4 linked regions of the Diceros bicornis minor genome follow. The protein of the gene in region 1 interacts with the protein of each later gene in a pairwise test. Links are inferred from orthologs where the notes say so. Each region holds a gene or a part of one and is shown on either strand. Other genes may lie near its edges. The genes, in order: KRT40, PIMREG, JOSD1 and RWD domain-containing protein 2B.

Region 1 (7,567 bases):
TGCTGACCTGGACAGCGAACCATTCTTCTGCCTCTCTGCGGTTGTTGGCCAGCACCATCTCGTACTGATGGCGCATCTCATCCAGGACCCTGTTGAGGTCGATGGTGGGGGCAGTGTCTAGCTCCACACTGAGGCAGTCACCAAGCTGTCCACGAAGCAAGCTGACTTCCTGAAAGTGGAAATGGAGTAAAGAATGTCACAGAATGGGCAGGGAGGGGGAATTCACTTTGACATCTCAATAGCCTCCCACTTCTGTTTTTTGGAGCAGGGAGTTTAGATTTAGATTCCTTAGGTTGAATCTTTTTTCACCACCAGTTTCTTCATCTGTGAAGTGGGTATAATAATTTTACCTTTTCCAGAGGGTTATGAGATATATGAGAGTTAATATATGTATAAAGCACTTACAAAAGTCCTTGGCACGTAATGAGGTCTCAATAAATGTTAGCTCTTATCATCAACAAATGTTCAAAGAGAAAATGTTCTTGGTTATATCATTTAGCTTCTCATTTTTTAGCTTCATCAATATGAGATAATCATACACTTCATATTTTATGATTTTACATAGATTATATATGCAGAATATTTAAAAATATTTGTCCAAATATTGCCTGAGTCTTTATCCCCCCCCCTTTTCAAATTGAGGTCACATTGGTTTATAACATTATATAAATTTCATGTGTACATCATTATATTTCAGCTTCTGTATAGACTGCATTATGTTCATCACCAAAAGTCTAGTTGCCATCTGTCACCATACACGTGCCCCTTTACCCCTTTTGCCCTCCCCTGGCCCCCTTCTCCTCTGGTAACCTCCAATCTGTTCTCCATATCTATGTATTTGTTTGTTTGTTTATCTTCCACATACGGAAGACTTGAAAGCAACCTAAGTGCCCATTAATGGATGAAAGGATAAAGAAGATGTGGTATATATCTACGGTGGAGTACTACTCAGCCACAAAAAAGATGAAATCTTGCCATTTGTGGCAACATGGATGGACCTTAAGGGTATTTATCCCCTTTTTGAAATGACCTTCATACTCTGTGTTTATCAGCCTGATTTTCACACTCTATGGATTAGAGTTACAAGTGGCATAAAGCCTCCAGAGAAAGCTAACTCCACAAAAGTAATGGCAGGTGATGAGTTTGGCCCCTTCATCTGGCACTGGCCAGGGGTCATTTCACATCTACATTCAGAGACACATGGGAGTGATCAGGCTGCATAGTAGTAGTGCCTCGAGTAATTTTGTTTCAGTTTAAGCCACATCTACCCAAGTGCAATTTTATATATACATAATGAAATCTATCAGTTTAACTTTGTCACTCTGAGAGCCCTTCAGCGATTTTCCACTTTCCTCACCTCTTCGTGGTTTTTCTTAAGGCAAAGAAGATCGTCCTTCAGAGACTCCACATGGGCCTCCAGATCACCTTTGCATAAGTTCAGCTCACCCAGGATCCCACGCAGGCCACTGATGTCCGTCTCCACCAGCTGGCAAAGAGACAGTTCAGACTCATACCTTTCACAGCAAAAGAGATACAGCCTGTGCTTACTTTGCTGACACTGTGCCGAGTGCTAGGGCATGCTGATGAATGACACGTGAACTCAGGGAAGCCATGTGCTGTGATTTCCTTTATATCCCAAATAATGGTAAATTCGAGCTTTGCGAGAATTCTTAGCATAAAAATATATTATATGGAGAATATTTGTGCTGTGTTTGTGTCTGTGTGTGTGCGTGTGAGAAAGATAGAGGCAACCATAAATTATTTTCAAATTCAAATTAAACTTACCTTGACTTAAAGTCATCGGCGGCCAGTTTGCAGTTGTCAAGCTGTACAGCAAGTCTAGAATTCTCTGCCTTCGTGCACAAGATCTGGAAAGTAAGTTATTATGTAATAAATGTTTTTTTGAAAGAAGCATAAGTATCTATTCATGTAACATCTATGCCATTATTTATCTCTTAAAAGTCTTTATAAGAAAGTATAAAATAGCTTTCAGCCTGCTTTTCTTATTAACCATGTCACCTCATAAGGAAAAAAACAGTGCCAATTTATAAACAAAATAGAGAAATAAAAAGGTTTAGTTTTTTAATGACCCAAGACATTTTGCAATGTTCCTTGGCAGTTGAACTCAAAATTTTCTCTGTAAGTAGTTTGTATTATGACTATGTCCCCAGCCATGATAATAACAATTCATTAATAAGAAAAGAAAATGATTACTAGGTGAAATTATATGATTAAAAAATGACATTTCAATATCTTATGCTAAAAATAATGTAGATGTACAGCCTTACATACAGAAGTAATTTTAGATTTAATAGTTTTTCATCATTCTATAGATGATAGGGTAAAGTTTAGAGGTAAGTGAGTTTATTGTGGTCAATCAGTAATTAGAGGCAGCACTGGGGCTAGTGCTGGTGTTTCCTGACTTCTAGTTAAGTACTCTGGACCCTCTACATCACATCGCCTCTTGGAAGTCCCCTTTCCCTGGCTTCCTCCATAGAACAGTAAAAAGATAAAGCAAATCAGAGATTGGGAAGGTGGAGCATTAGGGCAGTAAGGCACCAGACCTTTTGTTGGAGATCTTCAATGGTGTCAAAGTAACACTGGTAATCGGGGCACACCAATGGGATATCCTCTTCACATTGCTCTCGGATCCTGCCTTCCAGCTCTGCATTCATCTCCTCGAGGCCACGCACCTTCTCCAGGTAGTTGGCCAGTCTGTCATTCAGGAACTGCATCATTTCCTTCTCATTGCTGTTGAACACCCCATCCTCACACCAAGCACAGTTCCCCACCAAGCACGGAACATTACAACTCCCAGCAAAGTGGCGTGGCACGAAGCAGCCGGCTGGCAAGTGAGACCTGGATAGGAAACTAGGGGTCTGGCATCTGGATGCAGCACAGGCGCTGGGGAGACAAGTGGTTTCCACGGGACAGGTAGAAGCAAACGCACAATCAGAAGCCCTGGCACAGGATTCAGAAGAGCTGCCCGTGGGGGAGCTGTCAGAAGTCATCCTGTTAGAAGTGAAGAGCAAAGACTAGTTCCAAAACTCCAGTTGCCTGGCTCCAAAATCTCCTTCCCTGCTGAGACTTTTATATAGCCCCCAAATGGGTATTTACAGAATGCACCGGATGTTTTCTTTATCGCTGTTGGTGCCAGTTTTCATGTGAACATTCATTAGCGTTGTTTATTTGCTGACAGAGTTTTATGCCTCATAAAAGAAGCATAACTTCAGGTTACTAAATAAGGTCACTATTTCCATGTGCCAGTGGGATAAAATGCTTGCTTCAGAAAATCTTCATAGGAAGCATTGTCCTTTTGTCAGAATAAGGAAAGAAAGAAAATGTGGCCAATGAGTAATTATAGATACAACTGATTATCAATATGGAAAATAATATTCCCATAGATTTTGATCCTGTTCATTGAAAATTATTTATTGTCTCCTTTTAAAGTTAATATTACAACTCATTAAATGCCATTTGTTTGTGCCATCACCATAAAAATGTTTCGTGTAATTAGCAATCTTTGCAATGCTTTTTGTGGTCTTGCTGTGCTCATGTGGTGGAGGAGTGAGGTGGAACTGGGTTTAAGGTGTGTGTGTGTGTGTGCGTGTGTGTGTGTTTGAACCAGATCTGCCTGTGTGCAAATTGAAAAGTCACTTTACACAACTGATGGGCATAATTTGTGCCCCCCCAGGCCAGAATATAAAATGGTTATCAAGACCTGGAGTTATGATCTTTGATTTCCTGACACTTGCCTTCTCCACATTTCCTGTGCCTCATGGGAAACTGAACTTTCATTGATTACACTTCAGAGTAGGGGCAAGGATGCTACAGAAGGCTTTTCTTCCGAGATATGGAACCTGCTTTCTCTTATTTATTTTTGAAGGCCTCAATTTCATGAAAATTTAAAATACTGGAACTGGGGAATAAAACTCTATGATGAGGGTTCCAGATCAGCAATTCCGTTGGAGGAAATCCCTGGTGCAGTACCGAACGGCTAGGGATTTGAGATGTAGCTATTTTAGATTTCCCCTTGAATTTCATCTCCATTATGAAGCATAATCTGTTTCACTTTGCTTGCCTTCAGTTGTGGTTGTTTGATTCTGTAATATGCCCTTACCTCAGAACATCCACTTACTGCTGCCAGAATCATTTCTGTAAAATACAAAGCTACTTTTTGTCACTCTCCACTTATAAAGTCCAAACTTCCTAGATTGACAAATATGACCTTCCTTAATCTGGTCCAATTTACCTTTCTAGCTGATTTCCTGATACTGTCTCATCCTTCAGGCTCTGTTGGTGCTGTTGCCTTGGCCTAATGCTCTTCTACCATCCTTTCCTGGGTGAACCCACGTGTCAAGACTCGGCTGCCGTGGCATTCAACTGCCTCACATTGAGGTGGCGGCTCTTTCCAGAGCATTTTGCACACACCTCCACTTATGTCACGTTGCTTTAAAATTTTTATGTTTGTGCCTTTTTTTTTTTTTTTGACAGTGTCTCTTTTAAGACGGGTGTATCTTATTTGTCTTCTTACCCTCAGCACTTGGGACATAATATAATAGACCCTTAATAAATGTTTGCTAAAAATATAACCACTTGGCTTAACAGAGGTTTCTGTCTTAACACATGATTCCTTATGAAAGAAATTTAACACTGAAAGACAAGGAGAATTGGCGGAGGACGAAGAACACTGTCTTAGTGGACATAGTATTTATATTCTAGTCCCAATGCTGTTACTTACTAGCTGTATTATCTTCATCTAGTCGTGTAGCCCCTTGGGGCCTTAGTTAGTCCTCACTGTAAAGTGGGAAGAATAATACCTGTCACTTCTACAGTATAGTGTTGTCAAGAAATAAACAATATGAGTATCTCTCACTTAATAGATAATAAAATATAATGCCAGTGTAAGATCTCCAATTTATGAGTCTTGGTCCCCAATGCCTCCATAGTTGTCAAATACATATTCTTTTTGTTCCTCCATTTTTTTTATTGAGATAAAATTTACATATAGTGAAATGCAGTTTTGACAAATGCATATACCTATGTAACCATCACCCCAGTCAAGATATCTAACATTTCCATGACACCAGAATGTTCCCTTGTGCTCATTTTCACTCAATCCCCACCTCCCAAAGGTAAACACTGTGCTGGTTCCTATTACTATAGATGGCTATTCTCTATTTGTGAATTTCATGAGTAAAACTACACAGCGTGCATACTTTTGTATCTGGTTTCTTTCACTCAGCATCATGATTTTTAATTCACCCATGTTGTCGCTTGCTTCAGCAGTTTGTTCTTTTTTTTTTTAATTGCTGAGGAGTATTTCATTTGTCGACACAAATAACCAGTAACCATTCTATACATAGGAGAGATAAGGTGAATTTTACTTGAGCCAGGAAGGCAGTCTTGACAAAGGGAGAAAGTGTTCCAGAGAAGCGCGGTTTGCAGCGTGATAATATCCCATTTCAGAACAAAGAACATACATCAAGCCTGACAAGGATACGTTTTTTTCCTCAAAGTCACAAGGAGGTATTTTGCTGCAGTTTCGCATGTGTGCGGCAGGTCAACTTGACCCTGATTTCTGTCAAGAAAAATTTACCTTCAAAAGAGCACTGGTATTGACGTCAGAGGAAGGGAGGTATCCGTCCCTATCCTCAGACAGTGCATCCTTTGCTTTGGGGTAATGTTTAATGTTTAAAGCAGATGTACAATGCATGTTTGACAGGTCATAAGTCAGGCTGCTCTAGGGAAAACAAGTTTAGGCTGAATCAGGTTTAAGCCAGAATGGCTTCCCTACACATCTCAACATGTGACAATTTCTTATTATTTTGATTATTTTCATCACATTGTATGAATATACTACAATTTGTTTGTCCATTCTTCTTTGGATGAACATTTGGGTTATTTTTTGTTTGAGGCTACTATGAATAAAACTTCTATAGACATTCTTGTACAAATATTTTTGTGGATATATATTTTCATTTCTCTTGGGTAAATATCTAGAGTAGAATGGTTGAGTCATGGAATTGGTACATGTTTCTTTTTATAAGAAACTACCAGACTTTTTTCCAAAATGATTATACTCTTTTACACTCTTACCAACAATGTATGAAAGATTTAGTTCTATACCTTCACTAACATTTGATGTTGTCAGACATTTTAATTATAGACATTTTAGTCAGTGTAAAGTGTCATCTCATAGTTTAATTTACATTTCTCTAATGACTAACGAAGTTGAGCAACTTTTTATGCATTTATTGGCCATTTGGGTATCTTCTTTTGTGAAGCAGCTATTCCAGTCTTTTGTGTATTTGTCATGGGCTGTTTGTCCAAGAGAAAGTAGTTGCCTGACAATATATTTGCTTGACAAAATATTCTCTACTGTCCCTCTGCACTTAACATTGCTGGTGGTTTTTTTTTTTTTTTCGTGAGGAAGATCAGCCCTGAGCTAACATCCATGCCAATCCTCCTCTTTTTTTTCCCTTTTTCTCCCCAAAGCCCCAGCAGATAGTTGTATGTCATAGTTGCACATCCTTCTTAGTTGCTGTATGTGGGACACCACCTCAGCATGGCCGGACAAGCGGTGTGTCAGTGCGCGCCCAGGATCTGAACCCCGGCCACCAGTAGCGGAGCACACGCACTTAACCGCTAAGCCACGGGGCCGGCCCCCTCCTGGTGTTCTTTAATGCTCCCTGTGGGTCTGAGATTTCATCTCGTATAATTTACTCTTTTAAACCAAAAGGACTTCCTTTAGTGTTTCTCACAGTGTAGGCTTTCAGACAATGCTTTTTATCAGCTTTATTTATCTAAAAATGTTTTCATTTTTCCTTCAATTTTGAATGTTGTTTTTGCAAACTATAGAATTCTGAATTAATATTTTTTTTTCCTTCAGGACTTTAAAAATGAGGTTTCATTGTCCTCTGACCTCCATTTTATCTGAATAGAAGTCTGGCAACCTTTTTCTCTTTGGTACCCTCTATTTAATGTGTATTTTTCCTTCCTATTTCTTTTAAGATAGTCTATTGATCTTTGTTATTTAGCAGTTTGACTCTATCTGTGTGATGTGTGTGTGTGTGTTTAGGTTGTGTTTATCCTGCTTCGGGTTTGTTGAGATTGTTGAATTGTAGGCTAATAAAATAAATCACTAAATTTGGAAAAATTTCAGCCCTTTTTTCCCTCAATTTTTCTGCCCCACTTTCTATCTTATCATTCTGGAACTCCAATTTCACATGTGTTGGGCCACTTGATACTGTCCCACGGGCTGCTCAGGTTCTGTTTTTTTATTTTTTTTTCCATCTTTTTCTTTCAATGTTTTACTTTTGATAATTTTGATCTATCTTAATTATTTTGAGCTATCTTAATTCATCGATTTCAATAATTGGCAGTTTCCAATCTGCTATTAAGGCCATCTATTAAATTCTTTATTTCAGATTGTACTCTTTAGTTCTAGAATTTTCATTTGCTTCTCTCTTATTTAATTTAAGATTAAATAATTAAAATTTTTAATTTTAAAGATTTAATTTTTAAAATTAAAATCTCTTAATTTAAATTTAAAGTAAATTTGTTA
Region 2 (7,127 bases), about 27 Mb from region 1:
TCAGGGTGCCTCTGGCTCCAGGTAGCCCCAGAAGGGGCTCAGAAGCCCCTGGGGCCCAGTTGGTATTTTGGGGCAGGGCATTTTCCTCATACCTGGGGGAGCAGAGGGGCTCTGTCGAGGAGTAGGGGCTCCGGAAGGCAGCCTCCCTCCTGGCCCGTCGCAGGGGGTGGCCACGTGGGCCTATCTGGGCGGAGAGGCCGTGATGCTCCCTCTCCCAGGGGTCCAGGGTTGAGTGGGCAGGGGCAGCTCCAGACAGCCGGGTGCTCCTCTGGCTCAGGCTGCGAGCTGGGGGGCTACTGCCCTTCTGTGTCCCTCTCTTCCTCCTCCTGGCTTTCACCTGGGTTTCCACCAGCCACTTGGTACCACTTTGGCAGGACTCCTGGATTCTCTGTGACAGGTACACGGAAAGGTGAGCACAGACAAGCCAAGGAGGAGCTACCCCGAGTCTCCAGGCTGTACCTCTACCCACTTGGCCCACCAGCTATCCTGCAAGTACAGGCAGCTTTTAGTCTCAGGAGTGAGGGATGTGGATGAGTCTGTGTGAAATGGGTGCATGGCAGGGACCCAGCTCAGAGCTGGGTGTGAGAGCAGTGGTCACAGCAGAACCATTCTTGGACGTGGAGCCTGCATTTGTCTAAGCCCAGCCCCTGTTGTGGGACACACGTTGACCCAAAGAATCAAAGGCAAGGCCCAGGGAAGACCAGGCTGACCCCCCAGGATACCATGAGATAATTGGTCTCCCTGCCTCTGGTCTCACTCACTTTATCCATCCTCCACATTTGTGCGCAGAGATCCTTCTCAAGGGCAGCTCTGACCATGACACTCAACAGCTCAAAACCCTTCTATGGCTCTCACTGCCCACAGGATCAAGCCCTAACTCATGGGCCTTTCACTCCAGCTGGGGCACGGCTGTGAAGGCTCTTCCTCAGCCAGGCTGTCTTTGCCTCGGCAAACCAGAGTCTGGAGGTTAGAGACTCGAGTTACCTTCGGTGAGTAACTTTGGTGACCTTGGGCAGCCTACCTCATTTCATTTCTCTGATCCCTGGGGTATAAAACAATCACAGGGCTCTTCCAGACAAGGACTAACATTTGGCTCAGAGACCTTTCTGCAAAGGGTTCAGAAACAGCTTCCCTCTCCCAAATCTTGAGATTCTCAATCAGACACAAAGGAGATTCCTCCCTCCCCCCAGTTCTCTCCTTGGAGGTCTAGTCACTCTCATGGCCTCTGTCCTTTCTAGGGGACACCTTTCCACATCTCCAGCTCCGGGTTTGAAGACACACCCACTTTGAAGGCCCACAGGTACCTCACACCCAACATATGTGATATCTTCTTGCCCACACATCTCATCTGATACCAAATCTTCTCACATCTACCTTCTGAGTAGCTCTTAAAGTTGTTCACTCCTCTGTAAGGCTAGGGCCCCAGGCCCCCTTAGGGGGAATCTTCTTCTAACTCCTTTTCCATCGAGTAGCTAAAGAACAAATTCTAATATGCTAATTGGACCCTATTCCCACCCTGTTGAAAATTCTTCCCACTGGTTCCCATGGCTCCCTATCACTCTTGGGAGAGTCTAACACCTTCAGCACACCAGATCCCTCTCTCTTGCACCAGCTTGCTCTCTGTTCTCTGGCCACACCCAGACTAAGCGCCTGTCAGTTCTCCTTCATTTCTGGCTCTGGACTCACACTATTGCACCTGCCTCATACATTCCTCATTCTTCCTCTTTTGTGGGTGAATTCTGCGGAATCACCTCCTCTGGGAAGGCTTCACCCACCGAGCTTGTTTTTGGTGTCACCCCCCATCAGCCACTCCTTGCAATTTCCTATCACAATACAGCTCTTATCACCTTGTACTGTGAGGATCTATTTCCTCCATGACACTGTTTTCCTTCACTCATTCAACTATTTGTTGAGTGCCAGGAATTATTTGGGGTGCTGGGACACAGCAATGAAAACATCAATGTCCCTGTCCTCTTGGACTCTGTATTCTTTGGGGCTCCTTGAGGGCAGCAGCTGTCAGCACCGAGGAAGCCCTCCATAAATTGATGGTTCGCGCTGTCAGCATTACCTGGGACACGGCACCCAAGGCGTTCTTAGCTGAGCGGGCCGCAGCCTGGAGACCCTGCTGCCCTGGCTCTGGGGCTTCCAGGCGTTTCCAGGAGGGGCCCACCCCCAGGTTGAGGCTGACTGCTCTCAGAGGCAGCCTCCTTTGGAACTGTCTGCACAGAGAGCCCAGGGCCCCACTGGAGGTCTCCGGATGGCTGACTGCAGGCTGCAGCATCTCACTCTCCTCCAGCTGCTCCTGGTCCTGGAGAGATCTTCGGCGCAAGGAGACCCCCACGCTTGGCCACCGAGAGGCCATCTGCCTGGCCAAGAGTCTATTCTGTCCACCAGACCTTGGGAAGGAGGTCAAAAGGCAGGTCAGCAAGGCATCCCCCATGCCCAGGCTCCACAGAGACCCTGGGTACAGGGGAAGAGATGGGACGGAGGCCCATGGGGTGGGGTGGATGGCCGAGGCCGGGGGTGAGGGCACTCGGCAACTGTGGGAATAGGAAGGAGGATGCTTCCTAGAAGGCGAGGGCAGCGAGGCCCAGAAGAGGGCAGAGGCTGTACAAGGCCGGTCAGCATCTCCTGCAGTCCCTTGCTGCAAGTGTCTAAAACAGCTGTCCTTCCATCCCAGCCTGCTTTCCGCTTCCTGCCTCAGGGAGGGAGGCAGAGTCAGGACCGGCCCTCCCGAGCCTCAGCACTTGGCCAGGGCACCATCAGCGGCTCTTTCACAAACTCGCGCTGACCCAACGCGATCCCGCCAGGACCCCGCATACTGACCAGACACCCCGATTTCCACCTTGCAATACCCAGACGCCCACGTGCCGTGCCCATCCTACCCGCTCCGCCCCGGTCCCTTCAGAACAGAAGCCCCACTACGGCCCGGCCCGCACTCACCCAACAGCCCCCAACGTCGACCGGACGCCCGGCACAGCTGCTCCTCGCCCACTCCGGCCGATTTGAAACTCCGCGCGGATCCGCCCCTGGTCCTGTCGTCACAGCTGATTGGCTCCGTTCCCGCATCGCTGCCGCGCCCGGGATCCGATTGGCTCCCTGCTCTCGCGGCTGTGAATCCTGCCCGCGGATTGGCCCGGCCGTTCCCATTCATCCCTCAGGACCGCGCCAGGCTTGGCGCGACGAGATGCTTCTCCTTTGTAACTGCGGGTCCCGACCGCGCCCCTCGCCGGCCCAGCCCCCGCGCCCCCTCGCGGACGCTCGGCCCCAGGCCACTGCGGCCCCTCCTCGAAATGCAAAGGGTTCAGGCTGGTCGGACTGGGCGGGGCAGAGACACGGGCCCGGGCTCCTGGGGACCCTCCCATCCTGTCCAGAGTCTCAGATTATCCGTCAGAAACAGCCGGCAGCTGGGAGCTCGGAGCCCTGGGTTCCCGTGGAGGTTTTGTTTCAAACTTCTCTCTGCCTTCCGGAGACGAGGCACTGCCCTCCTGTGTTCCCCAGACTCCACCAAACTCTGCCCCCAGGAAATCCCATCCTGGAAGAGAGAACAGACCAGAGTACATCACCCAGCCCTCCTCCAATGAGCCCCCTCCCCACACCCGGTGTGCCCCACTGACGCTCCTCTCTCTCCAGTCGAATGCCTTCCTCTAGAAATCTCCCGCCACCATCTCCCTCTTTTACCTGACCTCACAGCAGCACTGGCCACTGTCCCCATCCTCACCTGGTTTAACCCGCCCCCTCACCTCTCTGGCCACTCTCTTGCTGATGTCTCAGCTGAAGGGCTCCTAGAAGCTCTGTCCTTAGCCTCTTCTTTATCTCTGGGTGATCTCACCCACTCTCTGGCCTCAGTGACCCCCCACGGGATGGTGAGTGTGATGAGCATGTATGGGGCGCTCACTGTGCACCAGGAAGCTGTGTCCCAAGCACTGTATATTATGAACTCATCTGACCCTCATTGCAGCCTAGAGGAGAGGAGGAGACTGAGGCAGAGAGAGCTTCGGTTGGGTCCCAATCTCCCTTAGTTAGTACAAAGCAGGGCCAAGGATTCAAACTCTGTCAGTCTGGCACCAGCGTCCACGTGCTGCACCACCACACCACACCACACCACATTGCCCTTCCTTAGCCTGTGCCTGTCCCCTCATGCCCATCTCCTCCTGGGGCTGTAGGCACCTTAAACCCACACGCCCCAATCGACGTCACCCTGGTCTCTCCCAACCCTCCTCCTCCCTCCCCGTGTCCCCTCTCATGTCTTTCCAAATATCTACTGGTGTCTGACAGATGAAGCACTGTGCTAAAAATGGACCAAAGGTCAACAAACAGACGCATTCCTTACCCCCACGGAGCTCAAATCTAGTGTGTGGGGAGAGACCGGCATTAACGAGTCAAATAATAATCAATTAATCAAAGAATATTATGACACAAAAATTACGTCATTTAAAGCTGAGATCCAGAGAATGAGTTGACCAAGCAAAGAATGTACGTGCGTGTGTGTGTGTGCGTGTGTGAATGCGTGTGTGGAGGGTCTTCTCGCACAGGAATGTTCAAGGCAACATTGAACAGTACCCGTGTAAGATGCCCAGCACACACACATATGTTTAATGAAACAAGCTTTCCTGAAACTGTGTGATGGGCTTTGATATTTTATTATCTACTTCATTTTTTTTAACATGCTGGTGACAGCTCCCAATGGCTCCCTACTGAGGTGTGAGCTGCAGTTTGAACAACCCTGCTCTGGTCTGCCTCTTCCCCCTTTTCCCCCATTAAGTTATTTCCCAAGCATCAGAGGTGTTTGTTCCCAGCCCTGTTTGTGCCAGTTATATTTGTTATTGGAATTAAAGAATGTAGTTCAGGTCCTCTACCAACGAGACATAAGGGGGAAAGCAAGAGTTGTTTTATGAAAACTAAGTTGAAAGTGTGGGAAAGACTTAGAAAAAAAGTCTCTCAAATTGGGTTGCCTTGTTACAATTGCGTCAAGGCCTTGTCTCCGTGCCTCTAGCAGTGCCTGGCACCTCACTGGCGTCAATACGATAGCTTAAGTTGGTTGAGCCCTTAACACGTGTGCGATAAGTGAATTCCTTTATTCTTCCTTAATCCTCACGGTGACTCTATGACAAATTACAGATGACACAACTGAGATTCAGGTGGGTCAAGTGTCTTACCAAAGTTGGGATGGAGAGTCAGAGCTGGATCTTAAATCTTGGATGTCTGACTCGAAAACCTGAATTCTTAACCTTAGATTACACAGCCTGAATGAATGAGTGAATGAACCAGAGACAAGGCCCTCCCTGCTTGGGGCTTCACACCCCCTTCCCTCAGAACCATAACTGGCGGGCCAGGTGCACAGGATCAGTCTCCATGGCAACGATAGGAGGAGGAAGAAACCTGAATGGGAAGGCTCTCCCTCTGCCCTGCAGGGAGTGAAGTGAGGGAGCAGCACGGAGGATGCGCTGAGGTGAGCAGGTGCCCAGCGGAGGGGCGGTGGGCGCAGGGGCTCCTGCTCCTCCTCGTAAGGAGGAAAAACCACAGTTGTTCCGAGCTGAGGCTTTTTGGGGTCCAGCTCCGTCCTCGCCTCTGCTGGGGAGGAGGATGGAGGAGTGAAGGAGGAGCTCCAGCCCTGCCCCGCCCCGGGGGCTCCCTGTCCAACAGCAAAGCTTCCACCGGTTTCCTGGACCTCATGGAGCTGTCAGTGTGATGGAAGCAGCAGACATTAAACTCTGCAAGATGCCACGAATGCGAAGTGCTAGGGGCGACGAGGGGGTGTAAGGGGGTTGGGGAACCCCACTTGATTTGGGGGTGAGGGTAGGCTGCCCTCAGCATATCATGTTTTAGCTGAGGAGTTAGGAGGACAAAGCGAGGGGAAGAGGTTTTCTGATTGAGAGATCTGCAAGGGGACTGCCCAGGCTGAGTGAGATGGAGAGGGCGGGGCCGGGGTGGCAAGAGGTAGGGGCTGCAGGGCTCCCTTGACCGGGGAAGGAGCTTAGAATTTATCCTGAGGGCAGAGGGAAGCCTGAGTTTTGAGAGGACCGTGGGGTTGTTAGAGCTGCAATTTAATGAAGTCCATTAGGAGGTTAGTTTGGGGGCCAAGGGGTGGCGGGGGGATCCGTCTGGAGGCTCTGGCCTAAGCATCTCATTCTTCAAAGCAGTGAAACCCCGGTCATCAGCTTTAACACCCCCTCCCTTCATGCCCCCACCTCTCACCCCGCCCACCGTCTGCCAAACCTCTCAGTTCTACCTCCTCTAATCCGTGGGTGCCTCCTGACCCTTCTACAGAGGGAAGCAACGGAAACAGCGGGAGAGTTTTAAGCAGTGTGAGACGTGATTAGACCTTTTTCTTCGTTGTGAATTTTATCACTGGCAGAAAAATGGCGAAAACATCAAGTCTCGTATAATGAATACGTGTAAAGCCAACAGCCGTGTACCCATCACCTGGGTGAAGAGACAGCACATTACTGGGACCCCAGAAGCAGCCCCCACCCCCTGTTGTGTGTCCTCCCTCCGTCCCTGGACTTTTATGGTAGTCGCTTTTATTTTTCTTTGTAGTTTTGTCATCTAAGTATCCGTCTTCCCTCCTATGCATGCAGATGGCTGGCTGGAACGGAAGAGAAGGGCCTCTGCACCCCCACCCTGATCCCCTGCCCCCAGAGAGGGATGGAGCTGGGCCCTGGGGGCCGGGGGGTCTGGGCGCTCAGGGAGGGGTCCTGGAAGGGCCTGATCCGACTACCCCAGTCTGGGTTCTCTGGTCCAGACCAGCTGGCCCAGACTTGGCCCCCTCTATGCCACCGGCTCCTCATGGGAGTCAAGACTCTTGGGTGTGCCGTTTTGGGGTCCCACTCACTGCTCCAGGGAGGCCCTCCACTTCCTGGAGAGGGAGGCAGGAGAGGTCGATTTTCCTGGTTCAGCTGGGAAACTGGAGTTAGGATGGGGGACACCCAAGGCCACAGTTCAGAAAATAAGAGGTGGGATCAGCTCTTTGGAGGCATGTCTATCGGCTGCTAGTCCAGTTCTCGTCTCTGCCTGTGGTGGGGCCCCGTGTCCCTTCTCCCTGTAACAAGTCCCTCTGGAGTCAAGAAGAGGAAGGCTTTGGTGCTCAGAATCCTCCAGCACCCTCAGAGCTCTGAGGAGACGAA
Region 3 (7,787 bases), on another chromosome or scaffold:
TGCTGATAGGGAATTGAGGAGTATAGTACAACTTGCTAAAGCCTTACAAGCCAGGAATAGAACTCTGGTTCCAAGTGAGTGTTTAGCAAATATTTAGCATTCTTTCATTGAGGGAATACACAGCTGAAAGAGTACCTCTACCATCCACAAATAGCTTATAATCATAGTGCACCTCTTCAGACCCAGGCCCAAGTTCCGAGCAGGGTGAATGGCTCCTGATGCTACAATTGCTCTGACATGCCGTTCCAATACTCAGGAAGCAGCAGAGCAGTTAGGGGGCAGACCCTGGAAGCCCAAAGCTCGGGTCCAAATCCTGCCATTAACAGCTCTGGGAACTCTCTGTGCCATGATTTTCCTCATCTGGAAAAATGGGAAATAATCTACTTTGTAAGATTGGCGTGAGGAGTGAGCTAACACAAGGAAGGTGCTCAGAACAGTGCTTTGCCCAGAGTGAGCATTCACCTCTGTTAGTGATCACCCTCATGTCAGACCAGGGGCCAAACCTACAGAAGTGAAAAACTTCTGAAAGAACACACAGGATCTTGACTCTTGCCATCTCCCTGTGAGTGAAACCGGGCAAACTACTTAAACTGAACCCTAGTTTCCTAGGATCACTATTGATAAGGTTGTTGCAAGATCGTCACGTATCACAAGTACAAGCAAATCCAAGTACTCGCTGTGAGTCCTTTCCTTCTCCCTAGTATAATTTGCAAATACCCAATTAGGAGTAAAAGAAATATTAACGGCTAGACAAAAGGAGGCAGTCTAAGGGACTAGCCTCCTTTCTACTCCTTTCAGTTCCATGACTTGGTGATCTGAGACAAACTATCTCACCTCCCAGGGCCCCATTTCCTGAAGCCTTAATTCTGCTTGCCAGATAATGGCCATGATGGAAAGGACACATTTGCCCTGCTAAGGCATTACTATGGTTATTATCGGCATTGGAAAATAATTGCCGTCATTCTAATTTTGTCAGCACACTGGGGATTAACATCCTTTTAAGAGACGATCTATGGTTTTTTCAAGGTAAATGATCCACACCTATGCTTCACAAATCACCCCAAACAGGTTGTTTCCAGCTATAATTCAGGTCCTTCTGGGGCAATAATTTCATCTCCGAGTGAAGGGAGTCAGAAAAGGGTCTCCTGAAACGGCCAATATGCACTGCTTGAAGAATTCTTGAGCTTTCTCTGCACTGAGAACGGAGCAGGCCTCCACCTGTCTAGCTGGAGTAATGAAATAGGCTCACTGCCAAAGTTGCTATGGATTGCAGACGTCCTGCCGTGTCCATCCAGACACCGCAGAACTAATTCTCAAACCCCTTGATAAAAGAGTTTTAGAACATCAAAGCAGAGAAAAAAAGCTGAACTTCTGTCAACCTGTCCAGTAGCATTGGGCAAAATCGTTAAGAAAATCCATCTGAAATGAAGTAGAACCAGGAGGAGATCTAGAGTCAGCTTTAAATCATAGCTTTGCTACTTAGAAGCTATTTGGACAAATCACCTGATCTTTCGGCCTGTTTCTCTATCAGTAAAATAGAGAGAGTACAAGGACTGTTGGGAGGGCTACACAATGTATAAAAAGCACGTGGCCTCACAGAAAAGCTGAGCACTGTGGATACCTTTCTTATGGAACCCACGATATTCCACCTCTGATGACAGGTGACTGAGTGTGTACACATCTTGTCCCCCTTCTAGACTGTAAACTCTTTGGCGGCAGGACTTGAGAGGCATTATAGCATAGTGGTCAACAGCACAGATACAAACCTGAATTCAAACTTGGGCAAATGACTGAACTTCTCTGAGCCCTGTCTTTATCCATAAAACGGAAACAGCAACACATATTCCATGGGACTGTTGAGGGGATCACTTGAGATGACACAACTGAGGCTCTTAACACTGTCTGTGCCTGGTCCACAGTAAGTGCTCAATAAAGGGTAGTGATTATTATCTTTCCCATTCCCGCGTCCCTTATACCTGCTAACGGCATCTAGCAATAACACCGTTGGTTTGAAGGTTTTTGTAGCTGACACATTGCCCCACCTACAGAAATTCAGAAAGAGCAAAGTATCAAGATGCCTACCTCTGGAAAATCTCTTGCAGCGTCTCCCGGGTGAAGGCGTTGCTGTCCTGGAAGACGTTATTGAGTGCATGCAGGGCACAAAGCTCCCTGCGCTGTTTCTCATGGTAGATTTGTGGGGGTGCTGCCTGGGGCAGCTCCAATGATTCAGATTTGGCCTTGTCTCCTTTCCATGGCACGCAACTCATGTTTTTCGTTTTAGGTTCCAGAGAGGCCTAAAAACACCCCGCCCTCCTCTCCTGACAAAGAATGTAAGCTTCCCAGTCTTTTCAGGATTCCTGAGGTCCACCTTATTTTCTAGTGTCCATGATTTATGCTTTGTCACGGGGAGAAAAGGTTGAAACCAAAAGGACAAAAAGAAATCCACCTCTTCTCTCTTCTCAATAGAAAAATAACTTTTGGATTAGTGTATTTCGCCACCGCTGTCAAAGTGCAGAATTTTTAAAAATCATATAAAACCTAAGACCTTGTTTACCTTCTCTCCTCCCCCAAAACGCGGTTTTCTTTGCTGTATTTTCCTCTCTGCAAATGCCAACCAGGCCTCAATGCAGGACGACTTAACGGAATCGGTCACATCGCTCCTTTTCTTCCATTTCTTTCGAACTACAACGCCACTTACTCAGGAGACAGGGCCTAGGTGCTGGATAAAACGCAGAATTCGAGCAGCTAGAGAAGGCCGGCCAGCGGGAGACGGCGGGCTGTGCGGGAGCCTCGGGGGCGGCTCTCCATCCTCTGGGCGCGGCGGGGCCCCGCAGGGCGCGGCTCCCTCGGTAGGCGCGGACTCTCGCCCTCTTGCCCCGGCCCTGCGGAGGAGACAACTGCGGTCAGCCCCAGCGGGCGGGCGGGCCGCGCGAAGGAGCAGGCTGGCCGGGAAGTAGCGCGGCGGGTCCCGCTCCCCAGACAGAGGGTCCTGGGCAGGGAGCGGCAGGCCCTCGAGAGGTGGCGGGACAATTCGCCTCGCCCTCGGCGGCCCGCCTCGCCGCCCCCACCCCAACCTCCCCGCCCGTCACGTGAGTGCAAGCCGAGGCGCCCTCCCGTCGCTCCCCCAACCCCAGTCCCCACTCGGCCGCCCACGCCGCCCGGACCGCTCGCGGACGCGCCGCCGGCCGCCCCTCGCCGCCTCGGGCCGCCACCTGGAGCTGCCGGCCGCGCTCGGGCGGGCGGGCGACCGCGCGCACCTGAGCCCGACGTCAGCGGCCCTCGCCCAGCGCGTGCTCCGGAAACGCCCTCCTGCGCACTCCCCGCTCCCGCCCCGCCGCCGCGTCACGTCTGACGTCAGCCTGACGTCAGCGGCGCCGGTCTTGGGGCCGCGGCTGCCGCGCGGCTTTTGGGCGGGTGCGGGCAGCGTCGGGGGTTCCGGCGGGTGCACCGGCCAGCGGGGCGCCCCGTGTGTGGCTGCAGAGCCCGGCGGAGGCGGCGGCGGCGGCCGGTGGAGCTCAGCTCCCAGGCTCTGTTCCTTCCCGGGTGGGGATGGGTGGGCGGGGCGGCTGCGAAGAGTCCCGCCTTGACGCCCGCCCCTCCCCTTCCCCGGGCGTCGGCGCCGTTCTGGGGCGGCGACCCAGCCTGCGGCTGCACTTTGCCACTCTGCCTACCCCACCCGTGTCTCTGAGCTGGGCCTCGCGGGCGCAGTGCTTTCTAGAACCTGGGCTAGCTACTCCTGCGGTGACCGTTTTGTGTTGTCCTAGCGCGTCGTTCACCAGGTGATTTCAAAGCACCTTACTGACGCTGTCGCGCGCAAATTCTCTGGGTTAGTGGGCCCGCGCGCTCCGCACTTTCCTGGAGCTCTGAGGGTAAGTGCCTCTCCTGGAGTGGCATTTCAAGTGGAATGGAGAGTCGTATTTCAGTTCCCTGGTGTCGAATTTCGGTTCACTACACACAGACCACTGTTCTCTCGCACTCCGCCTCGCCCCTGGTCTCACGGTGGCTGCCACGGAGCTTTCTGGGTTTTCTCAGCAAACCGCGCAGTGTGCGTGTCAGGAAGGTAAACTCTCAGTCCCGCGTGGATTCTTACCCCTTTATCTACCCCTAGGGCATGTGGAAGGCATCAGCAAATATTATCCACCTTAGCTGTCCTCCTTTTGGGTTAGATAGTTGGAAAAACAATAAAAGAGATAACTCTTGGAATTCAGTTATTTCTTTAACCCTGCTTCAACACGGCTCTTTTAACACCATTACACTCGACACACAGTTATCACTTAACACACGTTTGAGTGACTACCATGTGGTCGGGAGTTCTCTGCCCTGATCCAGGCAACTTTTGAATTATCTTAAATATGTGTAATTTTTAAGCCACTTAATGGTTACAGTTGTATTTGCACAAGATTATTTAATGGAGGCTTGCACGCGCTAAGTGCTTTGTATATATTAACTCGTTTACTGCTAACTATCTTGTGAGGTAGATACTTAATTTTTTAAAGGAGACGACTGAAGCTCAGAGAGGTTCATTAACTTGCTCGAGGTAAACATAGCTAATAAGTAGTGGACCCACGATTTGAACCTAGGCTCTAACCTATCTTCAGAAAGAGGATATAAAGATGGGTAGGGAATTCTCTCTCTAAAATGTGATTTTAGATTTTTCTATTCAATTCAAGAACAATATTTTTTCTGGGCAAAACCCTGTAGTGAGAAGGGCATGTTTTTTAGTGTACCGTCAGGTGTCAGCACATTCTGAACTTGAACTCTTTCTGGACGAGCCACTTGGTAAGATATTAAATAGCAATTTTCGTTCTAGACTGCAATGCCTTGATATTTGGCTTTTCTGACAAATCAAGATTTCAATATTTGTAACTACCTCATAGAGGAATATATAGGATAGTGGTGAGCAATTTAGCCAGAGAAAAAGAAACACATTCGAAGAACTGTTAACAAGACCTTTGGATTTGGATGATTCTTGTCCCAGATTCCCAGCTGTATTTGTACACATAAAACTTGATTGTAGGTAGTTGAAAACAAGCCAAGAGGAGGTTGCCTTTTTTTCCATTCAGGTGGATCCCTCAAACTGAAGGGCATTTTGAAGACTGCCTCTTGCTCGCTAAATCCTGTGTTCCAAACCCTAAATCTTGGGTATATTACCTTCTCAAATGGCTGCTCTTTCTTGCTTGCTGCCTGGGATGAGTGGCCAAAACCAGCACTGTAAGAATTTGGCTAATCCCTAATTTCATCAAACTTTTCAGAATTGAAACAGCAATTCAAGACACTAAAAACTGTGCTGATGGTGTTTTGCATTGGTGCTTTCCACAACTGGTGACACTCTGGAAGAATCATCCATAAGAAACTATGTTATCAGACCCTAGATCTCGGCTTCACAGTTCTGTTAAAGAACAAAAATCCAACCCAATAAATTTAAAGATCTTATTGGCTTTATTCAGCGATTCATGAATAGCGAAGCATCCCATCCAGCAAATAGATAGGAGCTCCAAGGAGGTGTACAAAATGCAAGGTTTTTATAGGCGGAAAGAGGATGGGACAAAGAAGTTCAAAGAGCGGCTTTTCCGTAGGGGAGGGCAGGGGGCTTATCAGGCAGATTACCTCACTACTAGTGTTGATCAGAAAATTCCAGACTGATTGCTTCCACTCCTGGGAGAAGCGGAAACTGCAATTAGGTGAGGTATTAAGTCTTGGTCAAGGGGCTTAGCCTAAGTGACTCCATTTTGGACCTGCTGTTTTTTTTAAAGGGTTTATAAATGTGGTGAGGTGCTTTTGGCTTCCATTTTAGCAGGTTGCCTCTTTTTTTGTTTGTGTAATTGCTTTCTCCGCAGAGACAGTGAATGGAGAATTCTCCCCAAGGTCAGCGTTTAATTAATTGCCTCGCTCCGGCTGCTATAGTATCCCAGGCATCGATCCTACTGTCAAGATTGCCTAGAGAGTGCCAGCGCATCGGACCTCGGTCTTCCAGTGACTGCCTGGAGTCATTGAATTGAGTGGGCGGCGCCTTGTGCAGTTTACTATCTCTGGGGGCGGTGGCCCGAGGCGCGGGACCTATCCGATGACTAGATTGGGCCTTGTCCCTGTCCATCATCGGAAAGCTCTCGGCGCCCACTGTTTTGCGGTAAGATTTGGAAGCTGAGCACCGCCTCTGGAAGCAGGAGAGTGAGGGGCGGAGAGGGTAAACGTTACGTGTGTTTCTCTCCTCATTGGGTGGCTGCTGTGTCAGTCATACTGTGCTCTGCTCCCATTGGCGGGAAGGCTCCGGGCAGGTGGCGTGGACACGGTGCTGTCCACGGTGCCCCCTCCCGAGCTGCGATCAAGGCGCGTGACGTCTCAGATGGTTGTTGTTGGGATTTGGGCCTCATTGATTATTCATTAGGTGCTTGAAAGGGCTGCAGCGATTGGTGGCTGAGAGGCCGTCGGTTGTTTCTTAGCTAGAGATACGTGTCACCCCCAACGCGTTTGGATAAATTTTGCATAGATTATTCAGTTGAGGTGCGGGGCGGGGCCCCGCATATATTAGGCAAATGAGCCAGGGAGGGCGGGGAGGCCGGCTACGAATTAGCCTAAGTTATTAAAGATGGCGGCGGAGCGGAGTCGCTCCCCGATGGACTCGCCGGTCCCGGCCTCGATGTTCGCCCCCGAGCCCAGCTCCCCGGGGGCGGCCAGGGCCGCGGCGGCTGCCGCCCGGCTACACGGCGGCTTCGACTCGGACTGCAGCGAGGACGGCGAGGCGCTCAACGGCGAGCCGGAGCTGGACCTCACCAGTAAGGTAGGCCCGGGCGCCGGCGGCGCTGAGGGGACGGGGCGCTGAGGGGAGCGGGCGGCGGGCCGAGCCGTCTCCGGGGCGACGGCGGGCGCGGGAGGGCCCGAGCCCGCCCACCTGCCGTGGCGGGACGCGCTAGGGGCTCCCGGGCGAGGGCGTCCTCCCCCGGCGGCGCCGAGCGCCCTCCCGCCTCCCGCCGGCCGGCTCCCGCCGAGATCGCAACCCTTGGGCTCCGCCACGTGGAACAGGGGCGCCCGACGCCGGCGGCCTGCTCCCCGCGCGGGGCCGCCCCCCGAGACCGAGTGGTCCTCTCCCTGGACCGTGCCCGGCGGGCGGCTTGGGCAGGGGGAGCGGGGGCGGGAGGGTCCGGTAGTCCGAGGGGGCGGGGAGGCGGCCGCGTCCCTTCCTGGTGTCGGGAGAGGGAACAGAAAGTAGTCGCCCTGTCGGGGAGAAGGGTGTCTGAGGAATGTCTAGGGCTTTACACATCCACCCAGAACAGAAGTGAGAGATGGCGTGACCCATAATCTCGCCCTCCTGGGGGTGGAAGCTCGCCTCGTATGAATGGAGTAATCAGGGACGTTTTAAAGCGTGTCTTCTGAGCTCTTGAGAAGGTAGGCGGGAATTAAGGGCTCGCCGTCTGCTTGGCATTGTGGGGATAAAGAGTGAGTGTAAGATGTGACTGCTGTTTTGAAGGTGCTTAGCATTGCTAAAGGACAGAGCTGGGTTGCCTTTCCTGTCATGCCACTTAAAAAGGCTCTGTGACCTTGGAAAAGTTTCTTAACCTCTCAGTTCTCCAGCTACATCATTTTTAAAGTATAGATGCCTTGTAAAAATGAGAAATGTATGTAAGACGCTTACTATAGTGCCTGATGTATACTACTCAGTAAATGTTTGAAGTGAATTGAATAAACTGATAATTCCCTGTGCAGATTAAATAGCAGCGGATGGAAGATAGAACAATACCACCTCCTTCCTGTTGTTGCATAGTTACAATAGAGATGTTTAACGAGCTTTG
Region 4 (6,945 bases), on another chromosome or scaffold:
AGCTTGGGGAGACAGATTTGAGCCCTGCGTCCTGTCTACTTGCTGGTCGACCTTGCAATAAAGCTCTTTCTTCTCTCAAAAGCAGTTGCCATAGTATTGCTTTTATGCACATCACACAGCAAGCCCTTGATGGTTAAAAAGTACTTGAAATGCTGAATGACACCAAGTTCAACAGGTTTCTTTCTTTCTTTCTTTTTTTTGTTTGGTGAGGAAGATTAGTTCTGAGCTAACATCTGTTGCCAATCCTTCTCTTTTTGCTGAGGAAGATTGGCCCTGAGCTAACCTCCGTGCCCGTCTTCCTCTACTTTATACGGGACGTTGCCATAGCATGGCTTGATAAGCAGTGCGTCAGTCCACACCCAGATCGGAACCCATGAACCCCCGGCCGCCAAAGTGGAGCATGTGAACTTCACTGCTGTGCCACTGGGCTGATCCCTCAACAGGTTTCTTTAGGGTGACCATGGGTCATCCTATTGTCCTGACTGGCTTATTTGGACAATAAATTATACAGGCACACTTTTTGTGTGACTTCTCAGAGTCTTTATTGTTAGATCCCAATACACACTGTGAATTTCTAAGAAGAGGGTTTAGTTTGCAAAGTATCCCAAACCTATCTGACCCCAGAACATTTTTTTCCAGACCCAATGATATTAGCTCTCCTCTCCACAGAACAGGAATCCCTGCTTTGTCATCTAGCCACCCCAATTTAAGTAGTTAAGTATTGCCAAAGCTACCCACCATCTTCATTTTGAGTCCTTTTCAAATTTCTGTTAGAGCTGCAAACACTCCTCCCTCCTTTAAACACAATGTTTTCTTTACTAACCAGTGACTTCACATAATTTTATATCCTACTATTTCAACTTGACATTCTAACTTAAGCATTTGCTCTGTTATTTAAAAAAATCTTCATAAATATTTAAAATTCCTGGACTTATTGGAATTCCATAAATATCTTTTCTAGTCTGTTTTGGAGTTGAGGAATCTAAGAAACAACTCGTTAGATGGTTATTAGAGGAAATGAATTGACTTTGGTTTTAGATCATAGTGGTTTAAGCATGCACTCTGTTACCAGACTGCCAAGGTACCACTTACCAACTGTGTGAATCTAGGCAGGTGGCTTAATTTCTCTGTGCCTCATCTCCCCATCTCCAAAATGAGAGTGACAGGGTTGCCATGATGATTAAATGAGGATGTGTGGAAAGTGCTTAAAACAGTGCCTGGCAACAGAATCAGTGCTATAAAAGTGCTTGTTATTATTATGGGTCATTCATTCAATAAATGTTTCTTGAGTACCTATTGCATGTCAAGCATTGTCCTTGGCACTAAGACTATAATATGAACAAAAGGAACAAAAAATCTCTGCTGTCGTAGAGATTTTATCTAGCGGGAGAAGACCATGACAACAAAAACAAATACATATGTGTATTGGATAACTTATGAAGACTGAAGATAAGGAGCAAGTGGGAGGGCTGGTTCGATTTTACGAGGGATGGTCAGGGATGACCTCTCTGCTAAGGTGACTGTAGGGAAGAGATTGTAGGCACTGAAGAAGGAAGCCATGTGCTTATCTGGACACAGAGTTTTCCAGGCAAAAGGTACAGATTCAAAGGCCTTGGGGCAGGAGGGTGCTAGGCCAGGTGGCTAGAGCCAAGTGAGCCTGGGGCAGTGTCTCCTAACCTGTTTCAGGAGACAAAGTTAGAGAGGAAAAATGTGGCGGTTTATGTTGGGACTCACAGGGCATGGCCAGGACTTTGGAATTTATCCTGACTGATAGGGAAGGTCCCTGGAGGGGTTTGACTTACTTATGAAGATGCCCAGGCTTCCTGCTGTTAACAGTGGAGGGGAACAAGGATGAAAGCAGAGAGACCAGGTGGGTACTACAATGACATAAGGAGGGACGACAGTGGCTTGGATTAGGGTGTGATGGTCGAGGCGGAGAGCAACGTTCACATTCTGGACATGAGAGGAGAACCAACAGGATTTACTGATGAAATATACGTGATAGGTAAGAATGACTCCAGTGCTTTGAGAAACTGGAAGGATGGATTTGCCATTTATTTAATGGGGAAGATGGTAGAAACATGAAGCTTGGTTTTAGAGATTCTAAGTAGTGAAGTGCCTACTAAGACACCTATTAAGTACAGATGTCCAGCAGGCAGTTGGACGTACAAATATGGAGTTTATAAGCGATCCAGCTGGAGCTGTAACGTTGGGAGTTATCAGCATTTATTTAGAGGCATGTTTGTCTGGTCACCCAGGGAGTGAATGAAGTTGGGAGAAGGCCCCATTGAGTTTGGAAGTCCGGAAGATGAAATGGAATCAGCAAAGAAGTTTGGGACCAAGCGACCTGTGGGCGGACAACTACGGGAGTGACGTCACAAGGCAGTTATTTATTTGTCAAACTACTTTCGTAGATGAGATTTTAATCCCAAAAAAAAAAAAAACCAACATTTAAGATTTCAGTGCAAAAAAAAACCCTTTTCTGACTCAAGATTTCACTGAATGCTGTAAGAACGTATGAGGAAACTTGAGTTTCCAGAGTGGAATCATTCTTTTTCCTTGCAGATTTTTTTTTTTTTTTAAAGAGCCGAGCCTGTCTGGGCTGCCCAAGTCCTGACACTCAGAAAGTTGCCAGGGCCCACTACAGAAGCCCGGCGCGCAGGCGCTGTCGCCCCTAACAACTGACAGGGCATTGGGGGTCGGGGGGAATCCCTGGCTGTGGGCGGCGCCAGGAAACTCCGACGCCAGCTCTAACCAATGAGCGGAGCGCAGCGCGTGGGGAGGCGGGGCCGGCACATCGTCAAGTTCTCGAATGTCCAACAGGCAGCGACAGCGTGGGAGACCCCCAGGCCTGCTGGGCACCGGTGCACAGAGACTCACCTGGAGCCACGGACCCCGTCGTGCTGTAACCCCGGGTTTCCTGGCAGCACTGACAGCTCAATTCTCATCCAGAGGGAGCCTCGAACTGTAGGACTAGGCAACCTGACGCCCACAAACCGCTCCCGCAAGGCGGCCCCGGACTAACGAGAAAGTGCCCTCCCCGGGTGGCGCATGCGCGCTCGCGGGCCGCACGTCCCGGAAGCCCGAGCGGCAGCGACCTCTTGGTCGCGGGATGCGTTGGTGCGACGGGGTTCCTTAGCCCTACAACGTTCTCAGTTGCAGAGATTTTATTCTACCCCATTGGCATTTCCTGGCTACTGCTACTGTCAGGGAGAAGTATAGCCAGCACAGTTTCCTCGGTCAAGGAATGGTCCATTAAAGTAACGCTCCTCAGGTTCGAACTTGCGGAGGAATCATTCGGGGATCTTGGTATAATGCAGATCGGGATTCGGTAGGTGCCGGTGGGGTCCCATATTCTGCGTTCCTAAGATCTTCCCACGCAGTAGCGATGCTGCTGGTCCCTGAAGGACACTGAGTAACAAGGCATTTGGGAGGAGTGAGCATGATTGGTGGCCATGTCGACCTTAGGAAGGACCCTGTGCATGCACAGAAATTTATCCCGGCTAATAAAAGGGCAGTTTGAAGGCGACTCCAACAGGAGAGTTATTAGCAGTGTTTTTCTTCGATATCTAAATACACGCAATGCACTTTTTTCTTTATGTTACATATTCATTTTAGAAATCTAATCAGTAAGATGTTTGTAAACACTGATATTCATTGGTATCAGGTATTATTGCTAACTTCCACAACCTTTCTTTTTTTTTTACAACAACAAGATTAGTACATAGGTCTTCATAGCTACATCTTCTACTTGGTGTTTTGTGAGCATTTTTCAATGTAATTAAACATCTACTTTTTTGTCCAACTTTTATGAAAAATTGCAAGTATACAGCAAAGTTGAGAAAATTTTGCAGTGGAGCAGGTCTAAAGGGAAGGAGGAGGGGGGATTTTGCTCCCCAGGGACATTTGGTAATGTCAAAAAACATCTTGGGTTGTCATAACTGGAAGGGTGCTTCTGGCGTCTCATGAGTAGAGCCCATGGATGCTGTGCAACTTCATACAATGCACAGGACATCCCCCTACAACAAAGAATTTATTGGTCCATAGTGTCCATAGTCCTGAGGTTAAGAAACCGACCTAGACACTATCATAACATTTTACTGGACCAGCTTTGTCATATATCTACTCCATCCATCAATCCATCTGTTTTGATGCAATTCTAAGTAAATTGCAGACATGAGTATACTTCTCCCTAAGTACTTCAGCATAACATTAGGAGTCAAACTATTTAGGTTTTTCTTTTGAAGTAAAAATGAAATGCACATCTTAAATGTATATTTGATAAGTTTTGACAAATGCATAGACCTGTGTAACTCAAACCCTATTAAGATATAGAACATTACCAGCACCCCAGAAAGTTCCTTCATGCTCCTTCCCAGTCAGTCCCCAGCCAAGCCAGCAAAAATAGTTTTGCCTGTTCTAGAACTTCATATGGATGGAATTACACAGTAGGTACTTTGTGTAAGTCTCCTTTCAGTGTCATATTTTAAAGATTCATCTATGTTCTTGTGAGTATCAGCAGTTTCCTTTTTTCCTCCGCTGGAAAAGAGTTGCCCTGAGCTAACATCTGTTGCCACTCTTCCTCTTTTTTTTTTTCCTCTCCCCAAAGCCCCAGTACATAGTTGTATATCCTAGTTGTAAGTCCTTCTAGTTATTCTATGTGAGCTGCTGCCACAGCATGGCTACTGACAGACCGGTTGTGTGGTTCAGTGACTAGGAATGGAACCCAGACCGCCGAATTGGAGCATGCTGAACTTTGTCCACTAGGCCATCAGGGCTGGCTCTCAGCAGTTTCTTTTTATTGCTTAGTAGTATTCCATTGTATTTCCATTCCAAGTTTTTCCATCTTCTTTTGATGGAAATGTGGGCTGTTTCCAGTTTTTTGGCTATTAGGAGTGAGGCTATGAACATTCTCATACAAGCATTTAATTTCTAATGACTATGTTTCTTCAATAAGTATTTATTAAGTACTTACTATGTTCCAGACTCTTCTAGGTACTAGAGATACAGTCATGAACAAGACAAAGATGTTCCATCTCTCAAAGAGGTTACATTTGCACATTTCTGTGTATGTATCAGGGTGGGGGGGGCGGGGCAGAGTAGTAAACTAAGGCGATGTGAGTGATTGAGTGGCTGTTACCTAGGTTGCTCAGCCAATTTCTCTGTGAGAAAGTGACTTTTAACGTGTGAACAGAATTACAATAAGATACCAACGACGGAAGATCAAGGGGAACAACATTCTAGGCAGAGGAAGCAGGTGGTACAATAGCCCTAAGGATGTGTTTTAGAATACAAAAATAATGCCTGTGTGCTGAGTAAAGACAGTTTAAAAAATTATTATATCAGCAATAAAGAGCAGGAAAGCCAGTTCACCCCCATGTTGAACCATCGTACTCTGGCTGATCTGACAGCTGAGGACGCCACTTTCTTAACCTACTTTTGATTACTCATAAGGATGAACATTTCTTCATATCTTTTACAACCAATTGTTCTTTTATCGTGAATTGTTTCTATCCCTTGCCTATTTTTTCTATTGGCATCTGCATCTTTTTTCCCCACCGATCATTGTATCTTCTGCATAACACAACTCCAGGGCGGCGAGGCTTGTTTGTTTAATTCTCTTCGCAGAGGGCTTGGCCGTTACCTATTTTGAACGAATAAACAGTACATGTTTGAAAGTTTTACCCTCCGTCGGCAAGGTTAGTTTAAGACAACGTACTTAACTTTAAAAGTCGACTGGACAGAATTAGGGGAACTGTGTGAAATTGAAATGTTCCGGGCTTCGCCAGCCTTCAGGTGTAATATACTTGAGTAAGGTAGCCCTCCAGGAAACTCCAAACCTCTGACCACCACCACCAGGTACCCATATTTTAGATGCATGTAAATAACCCCATAGTTACTTCCGAGCAGACAAGACTCAGTGACAGCCAGACTCCAGGTGCAGCAGCGGCTGGACTTCCGGCGCCAGTCACGCGCAGGCGCCGATTAACTAGCGTCAGCCCCGGGGAACCCTGGGGGCCAAAGCCATTTCCCATAATGCCGCGTGCCGGAAGTTGTTGCTTTCTAGGGGTCACTGGCTTCGGCTCTGTCGCTCTCTATTCGTCACCGGGAGGAAGACCGAGCTTGCTGCCCAGCCTAAAGGCTCGTTAGGGGATGCAGTTATGGGCGCTGTCGTTGTGGGTGAGTTCTGGTCCCACTGACTCTGACTCGCAATCACCGCTCGCCTGACTTCCAGCGCTCCTAGAGTCCGAATTTTCCTGCTCCCAGCTGGTTCTCTTCTGGAAGGCCCCGCTTCCTTAAGCACGTTACGCGGCCTCGGCCCGGTACCGCGTCCTCATTGGCTTCATGTCCTGTCAGTTCCAGGAGCTGGCCAATGAGTTGTCGGTGCTGGCGCCCTTCTCGACCCCCGTGGCCGCCGAGGTTCCCCCGTGGGTGCGGAGCAGTTGGAAGGGAAGCGGGGGTGTGGCGGGCGCTGCGCGGCTTTGGGCTCTCCACGGGTTGGGGCTGGGTTTGCTGTCGCGTCCGTATCGTGTGGTCAGTAGGAAAACCAAGATCTGTCACCTAACCGATTCAGTGCCTCTAGGGTAGGACAGATCTACGCGAAACTTGAAAGCCATGTTTAAGACCTGCTGATAAAGTTTTCCAAGCGCTTGCATTTTTAATGGAACCGAGCAGGCGTGGGAAGACTGGGAGGGCAGAGAGGGAAGGGAACTGGATTAATCTGAGAGCCGACAAGATCAGCTTTGATTCGAATTTTGTGTGGAGTCCTGCAAAGAGTAATTTGCCAAGAAGGTAATTCTCCTCTGAAGGCTCGCCTGAGAAACGTAATAGATTTATGGATGTTTTATAGCTGATGGTACTCTCAGTACTTTATTCTCACGACTCATTAGATGCCCTGTAGAGTTGTCAAAAATTCGTTGGAGCTCTTTCCACATCATTCAAGTG

The links.
Region 2: the proteins of KRT40 (region 1) and PIMREG interact in binary tests that used the Homo sapiens proteins (3 or more experiments, as listed by UniProt). The two-hybrid records come from large-scale screens. The link is inferred for Diceros bicornis minor from reciprocal best matches to the Homo sapiens genes KRT40 and PIMREG.
Region 3: the proteins of KRT40 (region 1) and JOSD1 interact in binary tests that used the Homo sapiens proteins (3 or more experiments, as listed by UniProt). The two-hybrid records come from large-scale screens. The link is inferred for Diceros bicornis minor from reciprocal best matches to the Homo sapiens genes KRT40 and JOSD1.
Region 4: the proteins of KRT40 (region 1) and RWD domain-containing protein 2B interact in binary tests that used the Homo sapiens proteins (3 or more experiments, as listed by UniProt). The two-hybrid records come from large-scale screens. The link is inferred for Diceros bicornis minor from reciprocal best matches to the Homo sapiens genes KRT40 and RWDD2B.

What each region holds. Positions count from the first base shown.
Region 1 is NC_080757.1:40,394,557-40,402,123, forward strand, and holds the start of KRT40 (keratin, type I cytoskeletal 40), read right to left. Parts: upstream 3,012-7,567; coding exon 2,565-3,011; intron 1,869-2,564; coding exon 1,786-1,868; intron 1,515-1,785; coding exon 1,358-1,514; intron 170-1,357; coding exon 8-169; intron 1-7. UniProt on the Homo sapiens protein: May play a role in late hair differentiation.
Region 2 is NC_080757.1:12,900,864-12,907,990, reverse strand, and holds the start of PIMREG (protein PIMREG), read right to left. Parts: upstream 3,020-7,127; 5' UTR 2,944-3,019; intron 2,397-2,943; 5' UTR 2,363-2,396; coding exon 2,069-2,362; intron 389-2,068; coding exon 93-388; intron 1-92. UniProt on the Homo sapiens protein: During mitosis, may play a role in the control of metaphase-to-anaphase transition.
Region 3 is NC_080764.1:11,248,730-11,256,516, reverse strand, and holds the start of JOSD1 (josephin-1), read right to left. Parts: upstream 3,013-7,787; 5' UTR 2,268-3,012; coding exon 2,083-2,267; intron 1-2,082. Other genes in the region: GTPBP1 (GTP-binding protein 1), read left to right, coding at 6,587-6,778.
Region 4 is NC_080766.1:29,905,598-29,912,542, forward strand, and holds the start of RWD domain-containing protein 2B, read right to left. Parts: upstream 3,019-6,945; 5' UTR 2,881-3,018; intron 1-2,880.